4 linked regions of the Sus scrofa genome follow. The protein of the gene in region 3 binds, or shares a complex with, the protein of the main gene of each other region. Links are inferred from orthologs where the notes say so. Each region holds a gene or a part of one and is shown on either strand. Other genes may lie near its edges.

Region 1 (4,981 bases), on a different chromosome or scaffold from region 3:
TAGAGTAAGTGGCAGTGTTCTGATTCTTGACCTGAACGACAATTCTAAAAGTGTTTGCCTTAAAATAAATGAACTGTGTAACACATTGTTGTGTGTATTTTACTAATTCTGAATTTATTTAACAAAAAAGTGGTTTTTAGTTTTTTGCTTTTTTTAAGGAATACCATCAGAAGTGTTCCTCCCAACCCTGACTCATAGTGGTGCCGGAGATGGGTTTCTAAATAAGCACTAATAATTTGAGCTCTCCCCTGATTCAAAAAGCTAAGCCTACAAGAATTACTAATCTTTAAGTCAAAGGCTGAAGAAATATCAAATGTGACAGAAAGGTTCTAAAATTATTCTTGACACATAACACAAGATGCTATACAGTGGTCACTGGTAAAACAGCCATGCCTAAAGATTGCCAGCTAATCACATAATGTTACTATCCATGTGACTTTCAGCAAATAACAATATCTCTGTACTTTAATATTCTCATCTATAAAGTGCCATTATAGAAACTAAATGCTTTTTTTTTTTTAACACATCTAAAATGCTTAGAACAGTACCTGGCATGCAGAGAGCTTTACACCAGCGTTAGTTATTATTATTTATTGGAAGCATACATCTGCATTTTGTCAAGCAAGAAATTTGTATAAATTTTAGCTGTACTATCAAATCAACTGGTGGGTCTGTAGAAATGAGGGACATAAGTAGTTTTAAGTGGTGAGAGAGTAGAGAAAGTAGGGTCTAATGCTGCCTTGGATCTTCTGGAATTCAGAAGAAAGCAGGAACCAAGTGATTTCAACAAACAATTCAATTTGTTCAACAAATAATTATATGCAAATATCATATGCAAAGATATAAAGTCTAAACTCTTACCATCACACATATGAACTACAACTACCTTTTTACCACTTATCAGCTGGAACCTGGGCAAACTACTTAACTTCACCAAATCTCAGTTTCTTCATCTGTAAAATAAGGAAGATAATGCCATCTAATACAAGAATAACTGGAGAATAAAATGAGGCTTACCAGTCTCCGGAAGTATTTTTAGAAAAGTTAGCTCTAATTATTCATAAAACAGCCATTCATTACACGACTCCCCATTCCAAAATGTCAATGGGATAACATCAAAAACTCTAGCATTTGAAGTTTGAGGACATGATGCAAACTATTGCATTTGGAGTGGATAAGCAATGAGATCCTGCTGGATAGCAGAGGAAACTATATCTAGTCCCTTGTGATGGAACATGATGGAGGATAATGTGAGAAAAAGAATATATAAATACACGTATGACTGGTTCACTTTGCTGTACAGGAGAAATTGACAGAACACTGTAAATCAACTATAATGAAAAAAACAAAAATCATACAAACTAAAAAAAAAAGAAAATACATCTAGAGAAATAAATAGATTTTACCTAGCAAAAAAAAAGTTCAAGGACATGAAGGGGATTTCTGGGCTGCTGGTAATGTTCTGTTTCTTGAACTGCAAGCTGGCTACATGAGTATAGTAAATTATTTAAGCTATACACTTATTATTATGTGCACTGTCTGTATATTGTACTTCAGTAAGAAAAGTTTATTTATTTTCTTGTCCATGACCACAGCATTCCGCAGAAGTTCCCCAGCAAGAGATCAAATCTGCAGCCACAGCAGTAACAACAGGAGATCCTTAACCCGCTGTGCCACCAGGGAATTCCAGTAAGAAAGTTTTTTGAAAAAAAAATCTTCAAATTCTGGCCTTCACCTTACACCCACCTCATTACTCCCCTACTTTGGGCATTTCACATCTTTCAACATGTCTTGATCCTGACAACCTTCTACCTGAAACTCCGCTTCCTCTAATCTCCCTTTTCACACTCTACATCCTTCAAGAGTTAGCTCAAATCCCACATTCCTTAAACTGGAAAAGGAGAGGACACTTTCTTCAGGGTCAGAACTCCAAGGAAGGAACTGGAGGCACACAGGAAGTACACTTTTCTTTCTTTTTTCTTTTTTTTTTTTTAGGGCCACACCTGCTGCATATGAAGTTCCCAGGCTAGGGGTCAAATCAGAGCTGCAGCTGTGGGCCTACACCACAGCCACAACAACACTAGATATATCCAAGCCACATCTGCGATCTGCAATGCACCTCACAGCAACGAGGGATCTTTAATCCGCTGAGAGAGGGCCAGGTGTTGAACCTGAGCCCTCCTAATGGATACTACCTGGGTTGTTATCCACTGAGCCACAATGGGAACTCCAGGAAGTACACTTTTCATAAATGACTATATCTGTTTGTCTGCCTTATTAGAGTGCCTGTGGACTCTTTAGTCCAAACTGGCTCTCTGTGGGCTCCAGTATAAAACAATGTTTGATGAAGAACTTAAAAGAAATAAGATATAGTAGGAGAAGCTGCACTGCAAGTCCCAGGCTGAGACAAGGTTTATAAGGGCACTCACACACTCTCCTCGCTTATGCAGGAATGGTCCCCTCAGGGGCACCCCCCCCACACACACACACACACCCACGCACAAGCGATCTCGCGCCAAAACTCACTCCACTTAGCACGCCCTTTTCTCATCCCGACCCTTCCTCAAGCAGATCTTTCCTCAGACCACGCCCCTCAGCTCAGGACCCGAGGGGGACACACCCCCTCATATCTACATCTCGCAGGTGACCAGCCCCTACGGCCCCAACCTCACCACACCAACCAACGTCCCCCCGCCCTTAGCAGCCCCGCTCGCCCGCTCGAGGACGCGATAACTGGTGAGTTCCCTCAGAATCTTGAACATGCGGCCACTGCCCCCGCCTCCCATTCACAGAGGCCAGAGGCGCACAGGCGGGGCCTGGACGCCTACTCGAGCCGGTGGCCTCACCTCTCTTCCAAGAGCTCAGTGGGGACACCACCTCCACCCGCTCCGAGATGAACTCGGCCAGACTGGAGCGAAACAAGGCTGCCCGCACAGTCACTGCCACCACCAGCACCAAGGCCAAGGGAGCCGCCATGATAGCTGGGGCGGGCGCGCAGGCAGGAGGGGAAAGGCGAGGCGGAAGAGCCTCGCGGTCTGTGCACCGCCCTCTGTAGTTCTGCGGGTCAGCGCGCCTCGCGGCTGCCCACGAAACTCCCAAACTGGGAACTACCACTCCCAGGAGGCCTTGCGGCGAAGTAGGGCGTGGCGACGGAAAGCGGGGCGCCTCAAGCTTATAGCAAAGGGTTGGGCGAGGTCTCCCACTATAGCAGGTGAATTGTAATAGCACTGAGGTGCTGCTGAAAGGAGACACGTGAAGACAGTTACCATCCTGGAATTGTTGAGCGAGTTTTAAAGAAACGTTCATTTCACTCTTGTGTGTATGTTTTTAGTGTTAAAATGTTTCCTTTTTTATGTTTTCAAAGAGTATTAAATATGTATTCGTTGATTTACTACATACTTATTTGTAGAATGTCAACTATATGGGTTCTGAGGATACATTGTGGAGTATTACAGAGATTTATTAGCTCTGCGGCCTTGAACAAGTTGCCGAACTTTTCTGTGCCTCAGGTCCCTCACCTTAAAAATGCACTCGTTTTTGGCTCCTTGTGAGTGAGCTAGAAACCATTGAAGAATGCTTAGAAATTTTGCCAGCCGCTTTTAAACACAGACATTACTGTAAATTAGTACAGCCACTATGGAGAATAGTATGGAGGTTCCTTTATAAACCAAAAAGGGAGTTCCTGCTGTGGCAAAGTTGGTTAAAGAGAAGTTGATTAATGATCTGGCTTATCTTTGTGGTGTTGCTGGTTCCATCCCCAACCCTGCTCAGTGGATTAAGGATCCTGAATTGCCGCGGCTGTGGCTGGGATTCAGTATCCCCCTCCCCAGGAGCTTCCATATGCCTCGGGTACAGCCATAAAATTAAAAAAAAAAAAAAAAGTATCTAAGAATGAAAGTGTTTATATGTGTAAATGATTCACTTTGCTGTATGCCTGAAACTAACACAACATTGTAAATCAACTGTACTCCTAATAATACTTTTTTGAAATTAAATAAAAATAAACTCAGCTATTATCAAAAATTAACTTATACAAACCTACAATTCAATAAGTTGTGTAAACAACAAGGTAATAAATACTCAAAACATCCCTTGCTAAGTATTTTACTACACTCTTGTTTTATCTGTGCTCTTGAGGTTATTTACCACTGCTATATCACTATGGCAAATACTGTATAATGGTATACTTCTGCCCTTGCCTTCCCAAATCATGTTTAGTGACTTAAGTTTGATAGTTTGAAATCCCAATCAATGGGAATGTTTACACCACAGAAATTGGCAAACAGTGTGTCAGAGTTTTGGAGTTTGGAGAGCCATCAATAAGCATAAGTAGCACACCACTTCATTAATGTATAAAAAATACTTATGATGAATGCTTAAATGTTAGCTATAGTAATTAAAATATTAAATAAATATAAGGAAATTTAAGATCTGTGAAGGAAATGAAACAGGTTGCATAATCAAAAATAATTTGGTGGGGAGTTCCCGTTGTGGCTCAGTGGGTTAAGAACCGGACATAGTGTATGTGAGGATGTGGGTTCAATCCCTGGCCCTCATTCAGTGAGTTGAGGATCCGGTGTTGCACTGGCTGTGGCATAGGCCTTAGCTGCAGCTCTGATTCAATGCATAGCCTGGGAATTTCCACATGCCCCAGGTGCGGCCATAAAAAAGAAAAAAAATTAAAAAAGAATAACTTGGTGGAATGGTGGTGGTAATACTACACAGAATGGTCAGGGAAGACTCTGGGAAAAGGTAACATTTGCAGTCAAATGCTCTACCACTGAGCTGTACCCTCCCAAGAGGTGACATTTGAACTGAAATGAACCTAATCAGAGCTTCCAAGCACAGGGAACAGACTGAGTCAGGAAGAAGCAAGATGTGTTTGAGAAGAGAAAAACGTAAGAGAAAGTGAAGAAAGTTTTAGAAGGTGTGGGTGGGGTTGCAGAGAGGGGCAAATCAGATAGGAACCTGTTCATCATAG
Region 2 (5,075 bases), on a different chromosome or scaffold from region 3:
CGGCGGGCACCATGGTAGCAGCCAGCAGAAAGCCCAGAGAGAAGTTGGTGAGGGTGATGCAGGCCAGCTGTAGGGCCAGGCAGATCAAGGCTACCAGCTTCAGGGCCATCCAGCCCCTGTCTGGGGCCTGTGTGCTCACGACCCTGCAAGGCAAGGAACTCAGAGGCAGCATGTCCAGGGAGCCCCTGCCCGGGCCCGCCCAGCCCAGCTCCTCACCGGTGGGTGTTGTGTGGAAGCGCCAGGCCAGCTGCATAGACAGCCAGCAGCGTCAGCACCACGGCCTCGGCCTCAGCCACGGGGAAGTGCTGGGCGGCCACATGTTGACCCAGCACCGGCAGGAGGTAGAGGGCCAGGCCCACCGCCTGGGAGATCAGCAAGGGCGCCACAAGCGAGGCCAGCCCCACACTCTGCAGGGCACACAGGCACTTGGAGACAGGCCCCGGGGCCGGGGGAGTCCCAAGGATCCTCCCTCCACCTGCCAGCCGAGACGGAGTGGCAGCCCCCCCAACAACAGGAGCAGGGGGACAGTCACCTGTGTTGGCGGGAAGGGAGGACTGGATCCGGCGGTCCCCCCAGCCTCCTGGGGACCCACGCCAGCCTCATGCAGCTGCATCCACAGTTCCAGAGCGTGGCCTGGTCAAGGATCCTGAGAGGTGTGATGAGGTCTGCTGGGTGGGGGACCCAGGCCCTACGCCCACTCGCCACCCCTGCTCCCCCCGAGTGGAGGGCCCCAGAGTGGAGGGGACCTGAGGTCGGCTCCAACAGCGAGAGGCAGAGGATATCTTGAGACCAAGGACCAGGAGCAGAAAGCCGGCGGCCGGCATGTAGAGGCCAATGGAGACGAAGCGGGAGAGCGCGGGCAGCAGGTAGAAGAAGAAGGACTGATGCAGACGCTCCAGGAGGTGGTTGAGCTTGCGGAACATGCCCTCCAGAGCCCTGCCGGGTGCGGTCACGGTCACGGTCACGGTCACGGCCATGGCACGCCAGACCCCCGGCACCCACCCCTCGGCCCGGGCGTGCAAGGGGAGGCTGGAAGCACTTACTTGCCCACTGCCACCAGGTCGTACTTGTACTGGCGGAAGCTATTGATGCCACGGAGAGTTAGAGCCTCCACGCGGTAGCGCAGGAAGAGGCCGTGGGGGCCGTGGGGGCGGCCAGAGGCCTGTTGCAGAACCATGAGTAGCAGTGTCTGCACACTCTGCAGTGGCCTGTCTACTGATGTCCAGTCCTGGGGCTGCAGCTTAGAGGTGTGGGAACAAGGTCAGATAAACTCTACACACAGGCCCCGTGCTCCCCAGGCGGGTGGCCGTACCTTGCCCTGCAGTGTGCACAGCAGGCCCCCTTTCTGGCAGAAAGTCTGGAAGAGGTTGAGCAGGTCCAAGTTGGGCAGCTGCCCGTTGAGCCCCTCCACAGCCACGTCCAGGCTGGTGATCACATCACTGCTTAGCTCCAAGGCCACAGCCACCTGGATGGCCCCCGCCCGGCCCTGCAGAGCGGAGGACTGCATACCTGTGGGAGCAGGTGAAGGAGCTGCCAACAAGGGGCTGTTGGGGGGGGGGGGCTGGCCTCAGAGGGGCAGGGCAGGGACACACCAGTGACATTGACGTCGTGGTAGGCTTCAAGCCAGGCCTCAGTGCCCAGGAGGTCGTGTTCTGTCACCAGGAAGATGATGTCTTTGGCCCAGTAGATCTGCCCTGGAGGCCAGAGGCTGGGTCAGCAGGGCCTGGGGAAGTGGCCAAACCCTCCCTTGCCAGCAGTCGCCCTTAAGCCTCACCCCGGAAGTGGGCAGCAAGTGCCAGCAGCAGCCCGACAGCCTGGCTGTTGGTAGAGTCAGAGCCGCAGGGGACGGTAAGCACCAGGGACTCTGTGCTGGCGGCGCGCGGGGCCCGGAGGATGCCGTAAACGTTCACGCCTGACACCATCTGCGTGCAGTATTGGGGGAGCCTCAGCAGGACCCCACTCGACGAAGCTGAAGCCCCACTTTTTTTGGGGGTCTTTTTAGGGCCACGGGTGCAGCGTATGGAGATTCCCAGGCTAGGGGTCGAATCAGAGCTGTAGCCTCTGGCCTACGCTACAGTCACAACCATGCCAGATCCAGGCCACGTCTGCAACCTACACCACGGCTCAGGGCAACGCCCGATCCTTAACCCACTGAGCGAAGCCAGGGGTCGAACCCACAACCTCCTGGATCCTAGCCAGATTCATTTCAGCTATGCACGACGGGAACTCCAAGCCCCACCTCTTTAGTCCTAGAATGCCCACCAATGATTTCTCTGGACCCAGGACATCTCCCTCCCCTTCAAGGTGCTTTTTGGTCGCAAGCACACCCCCTCCACCACAATACATAGCGCTCGTGGGTCTCATCTGGAAAGGGCAGTTTCCGGGAGAAACTCTGCGTGTAGACCTCCAGCCCCACTGACCGCATCGTCCGCTCCAGCCAAGCCACTGGCAGGGCCCTAAAGACACAAAGAGATCTTCTGAGCAGAGCTCTCTGGCTTTGACTGGTATTGCTTCCAGCGTACGCATGGCTCTGCCGCTCACCCCGTCTTCCTGCGGTGAGCAGCGAAGTCCCGGGCAAAGCTCCGGGCACGGTCTCCGCCCGAAAATTGCTCCTCCACCATAGTGGAGCCTATGGCGTTCTCCGACATGTAAGTGCGCTGGGTCAGCGGCGGGAAAGCCAGCGCCAGGAACCAGGCGATGCCCGCCACGTAGCTCAGCACACTGCGGGGAGAGGGGCGGAGGGGGCCGCTGGAGCATTAGCAGGCTCCGAGATGCCAGCCCGTAGCCTCTACCTCCGCACTGGGGGGGTGGAGGCGTCATATCTGTGGGACCTGGATCCCGAGTCCCAGCACCCGGGACGCCGGACGGGAGGGCTGAGCCCCAGGCCTGGTGCCCCGAGTGATGCCGGTGGGCGGGAGAAGACTGGCGCGAGCACCCGGAGGGGCCCCGGCAGCTCGAGCCCCGGTCCTCCGGCCCCCGCTCCCAGGCACCCCCCTCACCAGAGCGGCGCGTTGAGGCGCAGCACCAGGCGGGCGAGCGCGCGCCGGCGCACCGGGTCCGACAGGAGGCCCATGGCAGGGCCGGGCGGCTCCGGGACCGCGCTCCCCGCTGCCAGCTACGGCACCCGGCCCGGCGCGCCGCTCCGGTCCCCGCGGGGCTCCGCGCCCACCCGCACTTCCGGTCCCGGCGGGCCTCGCGCCGCTGCGCGTGCGCGATGCCGCCCGTCGCGCCCCCACCCCGCAAGCCCCGAGCAGAGCTGCTGGGAAGGGAGTTGCCCCCGCGTCTGCGTTTCCTCGCTGGCGCAGAACGGGAGCAGCCTCCAGGCCGGCCGACCGCGGCGTGTGGCGCCGGAGGGCAATGAAGACTGACTAGTCGAGAACGCTCGGCTCGAAGGAGAATCGGGATGATGAATGGGGCAGGTGGGAGGAAAACCGGAAGCAGCGACCAGAGCGTAGACACTGGAAGATGTCTGAAGATGCTGCTGCCACTGACAACGACAGGCTTGAGTGCCCTCGCGGGAAGTGAAGGGGCTTCTGTGAGCTGAGGCCAAGGCGATGGCGGACCTATTCCTGTGAATGTCGGTCACCAAAAAACAGCAGTAGGGGCCCGAGTGGAATCACGTATTGTGCCCAGAACCAAGGTCAGTGGGGCCAGATGACCACAGGAAGGAAGGTGCATGAATACTGCTGGCCAAAAGGGGTTGCAAAGGAGCTTGGGTGTGTGGAATAGAAAATGGGGAGCCCGCCTGTCCAGGCCAGGTATCTGGGATATTAGAAAAGTAGTCCCTGAGTTCAGACAGCAGGGGCTGGTGGTCAGGGCTCAGGCAGGTCTGACAGCAGGAGGCAGAAAGAGATTTGGAAGGAAGGTGCAACCATGGGTTGGGGAGTGTCTGGGTCAGACTGAGAAAGGGCCAGAGCCAAGATCATGTCGCTGTTGTACTTTCAGAGCTCAAGATAAGCCACAGGACAAGCTCAAGGGATTCTGGGGGGAAAGGGACCATTCAGTCCAAGACATAATCCAGAGGATGTGGGAGGTGCCCCCCCATCACCTTGGTGGCACCCATAGCCAAAGGAGTTCTCCCTCAGCACTTGTGCTCAAGGCCCTGGATGTGCTGCAGTGAGAATCAGACTCCACAGTATGAGGGCTTGGCTCATTACACCAGGCCTTGCCACATTGCTCAGCTGTCTTGAACCCTTCATGACACAAGCGCCTCTCTTCACCCAGGGACACCCACCGCCCCCTTCCTCAGGGTTGGAATCCTGAGGCTGCAAGGGTTACGCAGTTCACGCGTAGGGAGCACCCTTTGTCGCCCCTGGAGCCAGCTCCGGGCCGGGCTCTGAGGGCACGGAGGTGCTTTGGGGAGATCAAAGTACAGTGGACTGAGCGCGTGTGAGTTTTATTCTGGGCCTGGGCGGCCGTGTACTCAGTCCCCCAGCAAGATCGAGGCCTCTTGTACGTGTTGCCGGACCACACGGTCCAGTACGGTGTGCACATCTCGGGCGGCCTGGGCAGCGGCCTCTAGCACCTGCTCCAGGTGGTCCTCATGAAGCCTTGCATCCATCTCCAGCAGTGCGATCTGGCCTGAGGCTGGCAGCAGGGCCAGGGCCAGCTGGGGGCCACCAGCTGCTTCCTCCACATGGCTGAGGTCTGCCAGGGCTGTCCCATCCACAAAGCCAGCTGAGCAGGCACATACAAAGTCCCGCATGGGTATCCCGGCGTCCAGCACTGCCAGTGTGGCCACGTTCACACAAGCCGCATAGATCCCACCATCTGCCTGCAGCACCTGCAGTGACACCCCCCCCCAGTGGTGTCAGTCCATTAGGCTGCTGATGCCCGACCCCCACCCCCTCCTTCTCTCTCCCCTCCGCAGCTGACGGCTGCTGCCTGCTCACCTGCACGTAGATATCAATCTGGGAGCGAGGATGCAGCTGTGTAAGGATGGCTGCCTCAAAGGCTTGACGCAGCTGCAGGCCCATCTCGCAGGACTTTCGGTCCCCATGTGGCCGCCGCTTGCGCTCACCTGTGCTGAAGGTCGCAGAACTGTACTGACAGTTCACCAAGGCCCTGTCCGGCAG
Region 3 (4,330 bases):
CCGCTGCTCTTGAAAGGTACTTCCTCCGTTTGTTTTGTAATAAATTCCCTATGGGTGACGCGGCTGGTGAATGCAGTTCTAGAGGGAGCCATAAGGAAACTAGCTTTTTAGGACATATTGACAAAACCCCCAAACTGGACACCAGGGAGGAAAAGTAAACCCTGGAACCCTATGTATGCACAGAAATTTCCTAGCAAATCAGCAGTCTCTAAGAGACCACACCTGTAAATGCGAAACACGGAGGGACTTGCAAAAGGATGGCACAACCCGGAAAAGGGCTCAACGTGCTCCCAGGCTCACCTGAGAGTCCACTGAGAAGTTGCCTGCAGCACTGAGGGCATTCAGGAAGGGCTGCACAAAGCGCCGGACAGCCCCCTCAATGTCCCAGTGGACGTCATGGGACTTGGGGTCAGGGTTGAGTAAACTGAAGGTGATTTCGTAGCCTGTAGAAACAGGAGTCAGGGAAGCCAGAGGCTTCTGAGCATCAAAGGAGGCAGCCTGTACCCCTGGCGGAGCTGCACTTGCTTCTCCTCTGGAATGGGAGTGGGGCTGGTGGCCATCATGAAACCAAAGGGAGGATAAAACTGGGATGAGGGACACGGAGTGCTTTCAGAAAAAGATGAAGCCACGGAAGACAGGAGTGAAGCGTCTGCATGCAGATTCCCCTCCTGTCCCCATGTCTCCACATCACTCACTTCCCTCTCCCTTCCCATGGCAGAGCCCGGTCACCCTACCCAAGCTGGACTTGAGGGGCCGCCTCTTATCAGAGCTCCACTTGTCCTCTGGAAGGTGGTCGGCCAGAGCCGCAGCGAGCACGTCCTCCGTCAGAGACATGGCCTGGGCGACCTGGATGATGCGGCGGCCGATGATGTTGAAGGCCTCCCGGTGCGTGATCCCCCGCACGACCGCGGTCCTCTTGGGCCCGATGTAGCTCATCATGTCCTGCGAGGGGCAAGCAGGGGCCAGGATGCCCACGGCTCAGGGAAGAAAGCAGAAGAGCACCCAGGCTCCTGTCTGAGAATCTGGCCTTCTGCCGCTGCCCAATAGGCCTGCACCTCTTTCTAGAGTCATAGTAAACCACCATCACAGCTTTTCTGAGCTCTGGGTATATCTGAGTGTTTTCCTTGATTTCAGTTGCCTCTCTTTCCCATCAACCCAGGTCCAGGCAATATCTACATCTTCCCAGGCTGGAAACTAAGAGACAGCATGCTGAGCAAGAAGAAACAAGCAGCAAGGAAGTTTGACACGTGGCAAAGAGGCAAGTACAGGAATTTTCACAGCAGCATTATTTTAGTTTAACACCAGAGACAACCCAAATGCCTGTCAGCAAGTGAATGGATAAACTGGGATATGTTTATACAATGAAACAGTAGACAGAATTTAAAATGAACCCATCAGGGCTTCCCTGGTGGCTTGGCAGGTAAAGGACCTGGCGTTGTCATTGCTGTGATGTGGGTTCAGTCCGTGGCCTGGGAACTCGCGCATGCCACAGGCGTGGCCCAAAATAATATGAATGCATTAGATGCAACTGCATATATTATCGTGGATGATTCAAGCGTAAATGTCGAGCAAAATGAAAAACCAAAGAACGTGTGCTATATTTTACCATTTATATAAACTTTAAAAACATGTAAAATTAAATATATTATTGATAGAGATACAACATACATGATAAAACTTGAAAGAAAAGTAAGAAAATCGCACATACAAAATATGGCCACCATGGGCTGAAAGGGAACAGGGTATAACCATGGAGCTGCATGAGTCTATATTGTAGTTTGCAAATTTGGGAGCGGGTGCATGGACAGTCATTAAAGTTTTCTTTCGGGAGTTGCCCTTGAGGTTCAGCAGTTACGAACCTGACTAGTATGCGTGAGGTTGCGGGTCTGATCCCTGGCCCGCCCAATGGGTTAAGGATCTGGGGTTGCCTTGAGCTGTGGTGTAGGTGGCACACGGGACTCGGATCTTGTGTTGCTGTAGCTGTGGCAAAGGCCGGCAGCTGCAGCTTTGATGTGACCCCTAGCCTGGGAACTTCTATATGCCACGGGTGCAGCCCTAAAATAAATAAATAAACAAATAAACAAATAAATTAAAAAAAAAAAAAAACTTCTACAGCAAATGGAAGGCAGCAATACTGCAAGGAGGAGACTTAGGAGAGGACGAGCTGAAAGGATACGGCAGGACCGCAGCCTCTCTGCTCATCTCACCTTGGGGAGAAGTGGGGAGTGCTCTGAGATCACATACACTGTCAGGGAGCCCTCGGCTTGCTCCAGCGGCTCAGCTAACATGGTTTCAGCCTCTGTGGACAAGAGCAGGTAGTGTACCAGGTCATCCTCTGGCCCCCACACAGCACCTAACCCATCACTCTACCTCCCGCTCACACCCAGCTGACACTGTGGCCAGGCTTGGCCCTCAGGGGCCCAGGCTGAGCCACAAGGTGTCTCATTCCCAGCTCTCCCAGAGAGAGTTTGGAGTTAAGACAAGGTATGGAAACTACACACTTCGAGATCAGAAGGGAAAAGAGGGGTTCCTATTAAAATGATTAGTCCTTTGGGTACCTTGTACACTGCCCGATGAGAGGGCCTCCTCCTCATGGTCCAAAGCCCTCCGATAGGCCTTCTGGAAACGGCATTTGATTTTCAGTTTGTCTGAGAGAAAAGGAAGAAGCATGTTGAGAAGAGCAAGCATCAGACCTCTGCCTACCTTTCCAGCCCTAACACTGCACGGTATCTAAAGACAGTAAGATAATTGTTTGCAGAGAAACACCAAGAAGCTACAGCCCATTCTAATGATTTCTGCATGGATGATATAAACACAGGACACTCCACCTCTTCCACCTGCCCAGCTCTTGCCTCTGCCTGTGTACACACTACCTTCAACCTCAAGTACCCTCCCACTGGGAAATCTATTACAATATTCATGACCTGAATAGGTAATAGGAGAAAAACCATATGATCATTTCAATAGGTGCCTCAATATAATTAACCTCAGTGAACATTCTTGATAAAAACAAGACAAAACACTAAATATAATTTCATTAAAATTAACGGAATTTCCCCAGTGGCTCAGTGGGTTAAGGATACGGCATTATCACTGCTGTGGCTTGGGTTGTTGCTGTGGCATGGGTTTGATCCCTAGCCACTTCCACATGCCTCAGGCACAGCGAAAAAAATATCCATAATAAAACAAAGATGCCTGCTAACTCCTCTCTTACTCAGTACTGCTCTTTCTGAAGTTCTTCACCAATGGAGTAAATGAAAAGAGAGTAACGTGAACATTTGAAAGAAAGGCAAAATGGACACTTTTGCAAAAGCCTAATAATTTTCTATGAGGATCAGAAAGAACTGGAGTTCCCTGGTGGCTCAGCAGATCAAGGATCCAGCTTTGTCACTGCTGTGGCTCATATTGCTGATGTGGCACAGGTCCATTCCCTGGCCTGGGAACTTCCGCATGGCATGGGAGTGCCACAAAAATTAAAAAATAATTAAAAAATAAACAAGTGAAATCAAAGACAACCAACTAAAAAATAATTGCAAGAATATGCAAGAACAACAGCTTTTTGATAAATATCAGCAAGAGCCAATTTATAAAGTATTTTTAAAAATACCAGTCACAGGAGTTCCCGTTGTGGCACAGTGGTTAACAAATCTGACTAGGAACCATGAGGTTGCGGGTTTGATCCCTGGCCTTGCTCAGTGGGTTAAGGATCCAGCATTGCTCTGAGCTGTGGTGTAGGTTGCAGACTCAGCTCAGATCTGTCGTTGCTGTGGCTGTGGCGTAGGCCAGCGGCTACAGCTTGGATTAGATCCCTAGCCTGGGAACCTTCATATGCCCCGGGTACGGCCCTGGAAAAGACAAAAACAGGACTTTACTCAATGACATAGAAGATCTAAATAAAATAGAAAACACATACAAAGCTCCTTGATGGCAAGAGTAAATAGTCTAAGGATGTCAATTCTCTTCATTAATCTAAATGTGTAAAGCAATCTCAAAGGATTTTTTTTTTCTTTGCTGCCTGGAATTTGATAAGCTGAACCTAAAATTTATTGGGAAAGTTCTTCTTTATAAAAAAAAAATTCCAGGTCATATATGCAGAAAAAAATGGCAGAATTTAAAAGTTGTCCTTTTGCTACATAATGAAATGGATTCCAGTATCAACAGATGCTAAAACCATCAGGTAAAAGGTTGACAGGGAATAAAATATAGGGAAAAAAAAAAAAAATCACCTTTTTTTTTTTTTTTTTAACAGCCACACCTGTGGTATATGGAAGTTCCCAGGTCAGGGGTCGTATCAGAGCTGCAGCTGAGGCCCATGCCACAGCCATGGCAA
Region 4 (3,437 bases), on a different chromosome or scaffold from region 3:
GCTGTGAGCTGTGGTGCAGTTTGCAGACGATGCTCAGATCTGGCATTGCTATGGCTGTGGCGTAGGTGGGCAGCTGTAGCTCCAGTTCCGCCTCTAGCCTGGGAACCTCCATATGCTGCTGGTGTGGCCCTAAAAAAAAAAAAAAAAGAAGTGGGGGAAGGAGGGGTGGCAGACCCAGACCGTAAGTAACATATAGTGGATGCCAAGTGTTGTCAGAGGAAGAGACAGGAGGAGGGGGCAGGGCAGACATCTGCCTAAGGACTTGATTTACAGGAATCCAGGGTTATACAACCCGGAAGGGGTGGGCAGCAGCAGGCTTCAATCCAAGGCCTTCAAAGCCAGTGGGTGGTCTAGGGACCACCCACAACACAAGCTCCTGAGGGGCCTGATAAAAATCGCTGAAGGCTGGGCTACACCCAGCCCAACTGACTTCACAGGGCCTGGACCTCAGGAATCCTCATTAATTCACAGGAGCCCCAAATGATTCCAATACAGTTTGGTTGGAAAACCACCACCCGGAGCTTTTCTGTCTCTCCAGCCCCAGCCTTGGAGATAGGGGATGGTTCTCAGGGCTCCTAAAAGGCACAAGATGATTCACTTTCACGGTCATGGAGATGCTGACATAAACACTCCCAGACAAACCCAGGGAGTTCTGGGAATTACAGTGAGATGAGGTTGGTGGGGGAAGAGGGAAGCAGGACACAGGGGGAGCTGCTGGCAGGAGTGGCAGGAGGTAGGCGAGTTTTATTTGGTTGCTTGGTTGTCTTTCTGTTGGTTGGTTGTGGAAGGTCCTGTTCAGGAACCCAGCAAACAAGCCCTAGTCCCCAGCGCCTCCCAGGCCTCAAGGACAGGAGGCAAAGAACCAAGGATGTAGACACTTTTTATTCCACAACCAGTAAATTCCACCTCCCACACAGTGATAACCAATTCTTGAGCTTGCCCAGTGATCCAGGCCAGGGCTGACCCACAGAACCTTCTGGGATGATGGAAACACTTGTCGAGCCGCCGGTACAGCGGTCACTCATCAGTTTTGGTGACCGAGCCCTTGAAATGTGGCTGGAACAGCTGAGGAAACGCACTTTCAATTTAAATTAAAGTCAAATGCCATGTCTCCGCTCATGCTTCCCGCACTGCACAGTGCAGCTCTGGGCCCTGGCCCAGTCCAGGGGTCCATGTGGTTCCGAAGCCACCTCTGCGGAGAGCAGGTGGCAGCAAGACAGGGAGATGCGGCAGCCGGGCGGCGTGCGGGGTCTCAGAGCGGCGGGACGCCCCGGGCGCGCCGGATCAGGTTGGCCAGCCGCTTCGCCAGGCCGCCCGTTCTGGGCTCCTCGATGTGGAAGGTTCGGGTGAGGAGATTGTAGAAGGAGCCGTAGCACACGGCCACCACGGTGCACGTGAGGCAGATGACGTTGTAGGGCATGCTGAAGTCCGGGGTGGGCAGGTTCACCAGCAGCGGCTCCGTGTAGAGCCGCACGAAGTGGCTGGAGCCGTCGGAGACTGGGAAGCTGCGGCGGCCAAGCAGGGCGTGAGGCAGGACCGGCTGCTCCTCCCCATCGAACCCCCCTACCTCCCCGCCTTGGGCTGCCCTGAGCCCATCTCCCTGGTAAGGGTTTTCAACGCTTTCTTAGCCTCAGAGCCTTTTTTTTTTTTTTTTTTAGGCCACATACATGGCATATGGAGGTTCCCAGGCAAGGGAGTCGAATCAGAGTTACAGCCGCCGGCCTACACCTGAGCCACAGCAGCAACACGGGATCTGAGCCGCGTCTGCGACCTACACCACAGCTCAGGACAACACAGGATCTCTGACCCACTGAGCAAGGCCAGGGATCGAACCCGCATCCTCTTGGATACTAGTCAGGTTCGTGATCCGCTGCGCCACAACAGGAACTCTATTTATTTATTTATTTATTTATTTTAATTTTCAGAATATTGCAAAGCCTCAGAGCCTTTTAAAGCTCAATGCATAAATGTGATCAAAGGAGAGCTAGGCTGTGCTGAGGGAGAGGAAAGGGACCCTGTCCTCCCTTGGCTGCCACTGCCTCTCCCTTGGCCTTCTGGTCTCAGCCTAAAGGCCATCTCCTCAAAGAAGCCCTCCTGGATGACCCACCAGCTTACTCCCCAGTAACCCCGAGCCCATCACCCTCTGGAACAGCCCGTCCCCTCTAGCCTGTGAGCACAAGCAGGGCGGCGGCAAGTTTGCTTTCTTCACCACTGCACACCCAGTGCTCTCTGAAGTTCCTGGCAGCTGATAAGCGCTCAATTAAATATTTGTTAAGAGAATCGATGAGGAAATGTGGGCTATACGTACTGCTCGTCTCACCAGCTAATTCTCCTAGAGGCACTTTAGGATCATTTCATAACGGTTGTACAAATATGGACCCCAAGGGTTTTAGTTGGGACTGAGTAAATCTACACAAGACTTTGGAAGAGGCAACATCTAGCCCCAGGCCACCCTGTGGGAACCTGACCCTCTGTGCTGGTGCCTCCCGGTCACCGGCAGCTGAGGTCACACTTACAGCGTGTTGAAGAGGGGGCTCTCGTCCCAGTCCACGGGTTTGGCGGCCACCACGCTGGGCACGAGGGCGCTGAGGACAGAAGGGCTGCAGAGAAGCCCACAGATATTCCATGAGCCATGTTCCTCACGGGTCCTCCATCACCAGTAAGCCATGGAGAGGGTGGGTCAGGAGGCCGGGGGGCCGCAGGTGACCGTTGGGGGAGCCCACCTGACATAGAAGCCGTGGTTGGGGTCCGGGGTGTACTCAGTCCACTTCAGCAGCGCCCGCTCAAAGTGGATGGAGACCTTGGTGACCGAGTTGGCTGGCAGCTGAATCAGCATCTCCAGGAGGTGGGGCTGCAGCCGGTCCCGGGCAGGCTGGTAGTGGATATAACCTGGAGACAGGCAGGGCCCACCCACAGCTCTTTCAGGGCTCAGACCCCCTGCATCTTTTGTCCCTACCTATTGAGGCCCGGGGGCGGGCCCTGGATCGGGGTGCTGAGAAGGAGGGCTTTGGATCACAGAAGCCTGGCAGGCTCACAGGAGGGAGGAGGATCTCAGAAAAGGGAAAAGATGTTTCCAGGGCAGCCATCCCAGGACGTGTTTGACCTAATCCATCTTCGCATCCCCAGAACTGGGCCACCAGACATCAGGTGCCTCATGGGATGCAAGAGGAAGTCCACAGAACCACCTGGGAAGTCTTCTTGCCTAAAACAGCAGACCTAAATCTAATCAAGTTTCTTTTTTTTTTTGTCTTTTCTAGGGCTGCACCCGAGGCATATGGAGGTTCCCAGGCTAGGGGTCTAATTGGAGCTGTAGCCGCTGGCCTTCCCCAGAGCCACAACTCGGGACCTGAGCCAGGTCTGTGACCTACACCACAGCTCACGGCAGTGCCAGAGACCAGGGATTGAACCTGAAACCCCATGGTTCCTAGTCGGATTCG

What was found.
Region 1: the proteins of PIGS (region 3) and PIGU are in contact, whole or in part, in a cryo-EM structure (PDB 8IMX), measured with the Homo sapiens proteins. The link is inferred for Sus scrofa from reciprocal best matches to the Homo sapiens genes PIGS and PIGU. Residues at the interface, in NP_149975.1 of Homo sapiens: Ala4, Gly5, Ala8, Thr9, Glu12, Arg15, Arg18, Ala19, Phe22, Phe23, Val26, Leu30, Leu34, Trp35, Thr38, Thr39, Leu510, Leu511, Phe513, Ile521, Tyr522, Leu525, Phe526; in NP_536724.1 of Homo sapiens: Gln118, Phe282, Glu283, His284, Phe285, Leu287, Phe288, Phe289, Cys291, Val292, Phe293, Ile295, Phe299, Tyr300, Ile302, Pro303, Ile306, Lys307, Lys309, Glu310, Thr417, His418.
Region 2: PIGS (region 3) and GPAA1 share a complex: the UniProt entries of both Homo sapiens proteins name them as parts of the GPI-anchor transamidase complex. The link is inferred for Sus scrofa from reciprocal best matches to the Homo sapiens genes PIGS and GPAA1.
Region 4: the proteins of PIGS (region 3) and PIGT are in contact, whole or in part, in a cryo-EM structure (PDB 8IMY), measured with the Homo sapiens proteins. The link is inferred for Sus scrofa from reciprocal best matches to the Homo sapiens genes PIGS and PIGT. Residues at the interface, in NP_149975.1 of Homo sapiens: Thr9, Glu12, Val13, Gly16, Ala19, Ala20, Phe23, Thr230, Pro238, Lys239, Tyr244, Ile247, Glu248, Val251, Gln256, Val270, Asp271, Ser272, Gln273, Ile274, Tyr276, Tyr277, Met279, Ser309, Arg310, Ser313, Ser314, Ala315, Ala316, Phe513; in NP_057021.2 of Homo sapiens: Pro26, Arg27, Val63, Ser64, His65, Tyr66, Arg67, Lys71, Gln75, Lys79, Tyr80, Val133, Gly136, Lys191, Leu193, Pro194, Cys195, Ser196, Lys198, Ala199, Glu270, Pro271, Pro273, Leu274, Tyr526, Ile529, Cys530, Cys533, Val536, Ala537.

The regions. Positions count from the first base shown.
Region 1 is NC_010459.5:38,078,087-38,083,067, forward strand, and holds the start of PIGU (phosphatidylinositol glycan anchor biosynthesis class U protein precursor), read right to left. Parts: upstream 2,977-4,981; coding exon 2,847-2,976; intron 1-2,846. UniProt on the Homo sapiens protein: Component of the glycosylphosphatidylinositol-anchor (GPI-anchor) transamidase (GPI-T) complex that catalyzes the formation of the linkage between a proprotein and a GPI-anchor and participates in GPI anchored protein biosynthesis.
Region 2 is NC_010446.5:615,071-620,145, forward strand, and holds the start of GPAA1 (glycosylphosphatidylinositol anchor attachment 1 protein), read right to left. Parts: upstream 3,205-5,075; 5' UTR 3,074-3,204; coding exon 3,000-3,073; intron 2,722-2,999; coding exon 2,542-2,721; intron 2,457-2,541; coding exon 2,345-2,456; intron 1,923-2,344; coding exon 1,775-1,922; intron 1,695-1,774; coding exon 1,593-1,694; intron 1,510-1,592; coding exon 1,313-1,509; intron 1,241-1,312; coding exon 1,044-1,240; intron 937-1,043; coding exon 783-936; intron 629-782; coding exon 533-628; intron 408-532; coding exon 217-407; intron 144-216; coding exon 1-143. Other genes in the region: EXOSC4 (exosome complex component RRP41), read right to left, coding at 4,424-4,783, 4,893-5,075. UniProt on the Homo sapiens protein: Component of the glycosylphosphatidylinositol-anchor (GPI-anchor) transamidase (GPI-T) complex that catalyzes the formation of the linkage between a proprotein and a GPI-anchor and participates in GPI anchored protein biosynthesis. Binds GPI-anchor.
Region 3 is NC_010454.4:44,814,594-44,818,923, forward strand, and holds part of PIGS (GPI transamidase component PIG-S), read right to left. Parts: intron 2,649-4,330; coding exon 2,559-2,648; intron 2,300-2,558; coding exon 2,208-2,299; intron 943-2,207; coding exon 735-942; intron 444-734; coding exon 301-443; intron 1-300. UniProt on the Homo sapiens protein: Component of the glycosylphosphatidylinositol-anchor (GPI-anchor) transamidase (GPI-T) complex that catalyzes the formation of the linkage between a proprotein and a GPI-anchor and participates in GPI anchored protein biosynthesis.
Region 4 is NC_010459.5:47,747,479-47,750,915, reverse strand, and holds the end of PIGT (GPI transamidase component PIG-T), read right to left. Parts: intron 2,890-3,437; coding exon 2,724-2,889; intron 2,601-2,723; coding exon 2,517-2,600; intron 1,506-2,516; coding exon 1,253-1,505; 3' UTR 864-1,252; downstream 1-863. UniProt on the Homo sapiens protein: Component of the glycosylphosphatidylinositol-anchor (GPI-anchor) transamidase (GPI-T) complex that catalyzes the formation of the linkage between a proprotein and a GPI-anchor and participates in GPI anchored protein biosynthesis.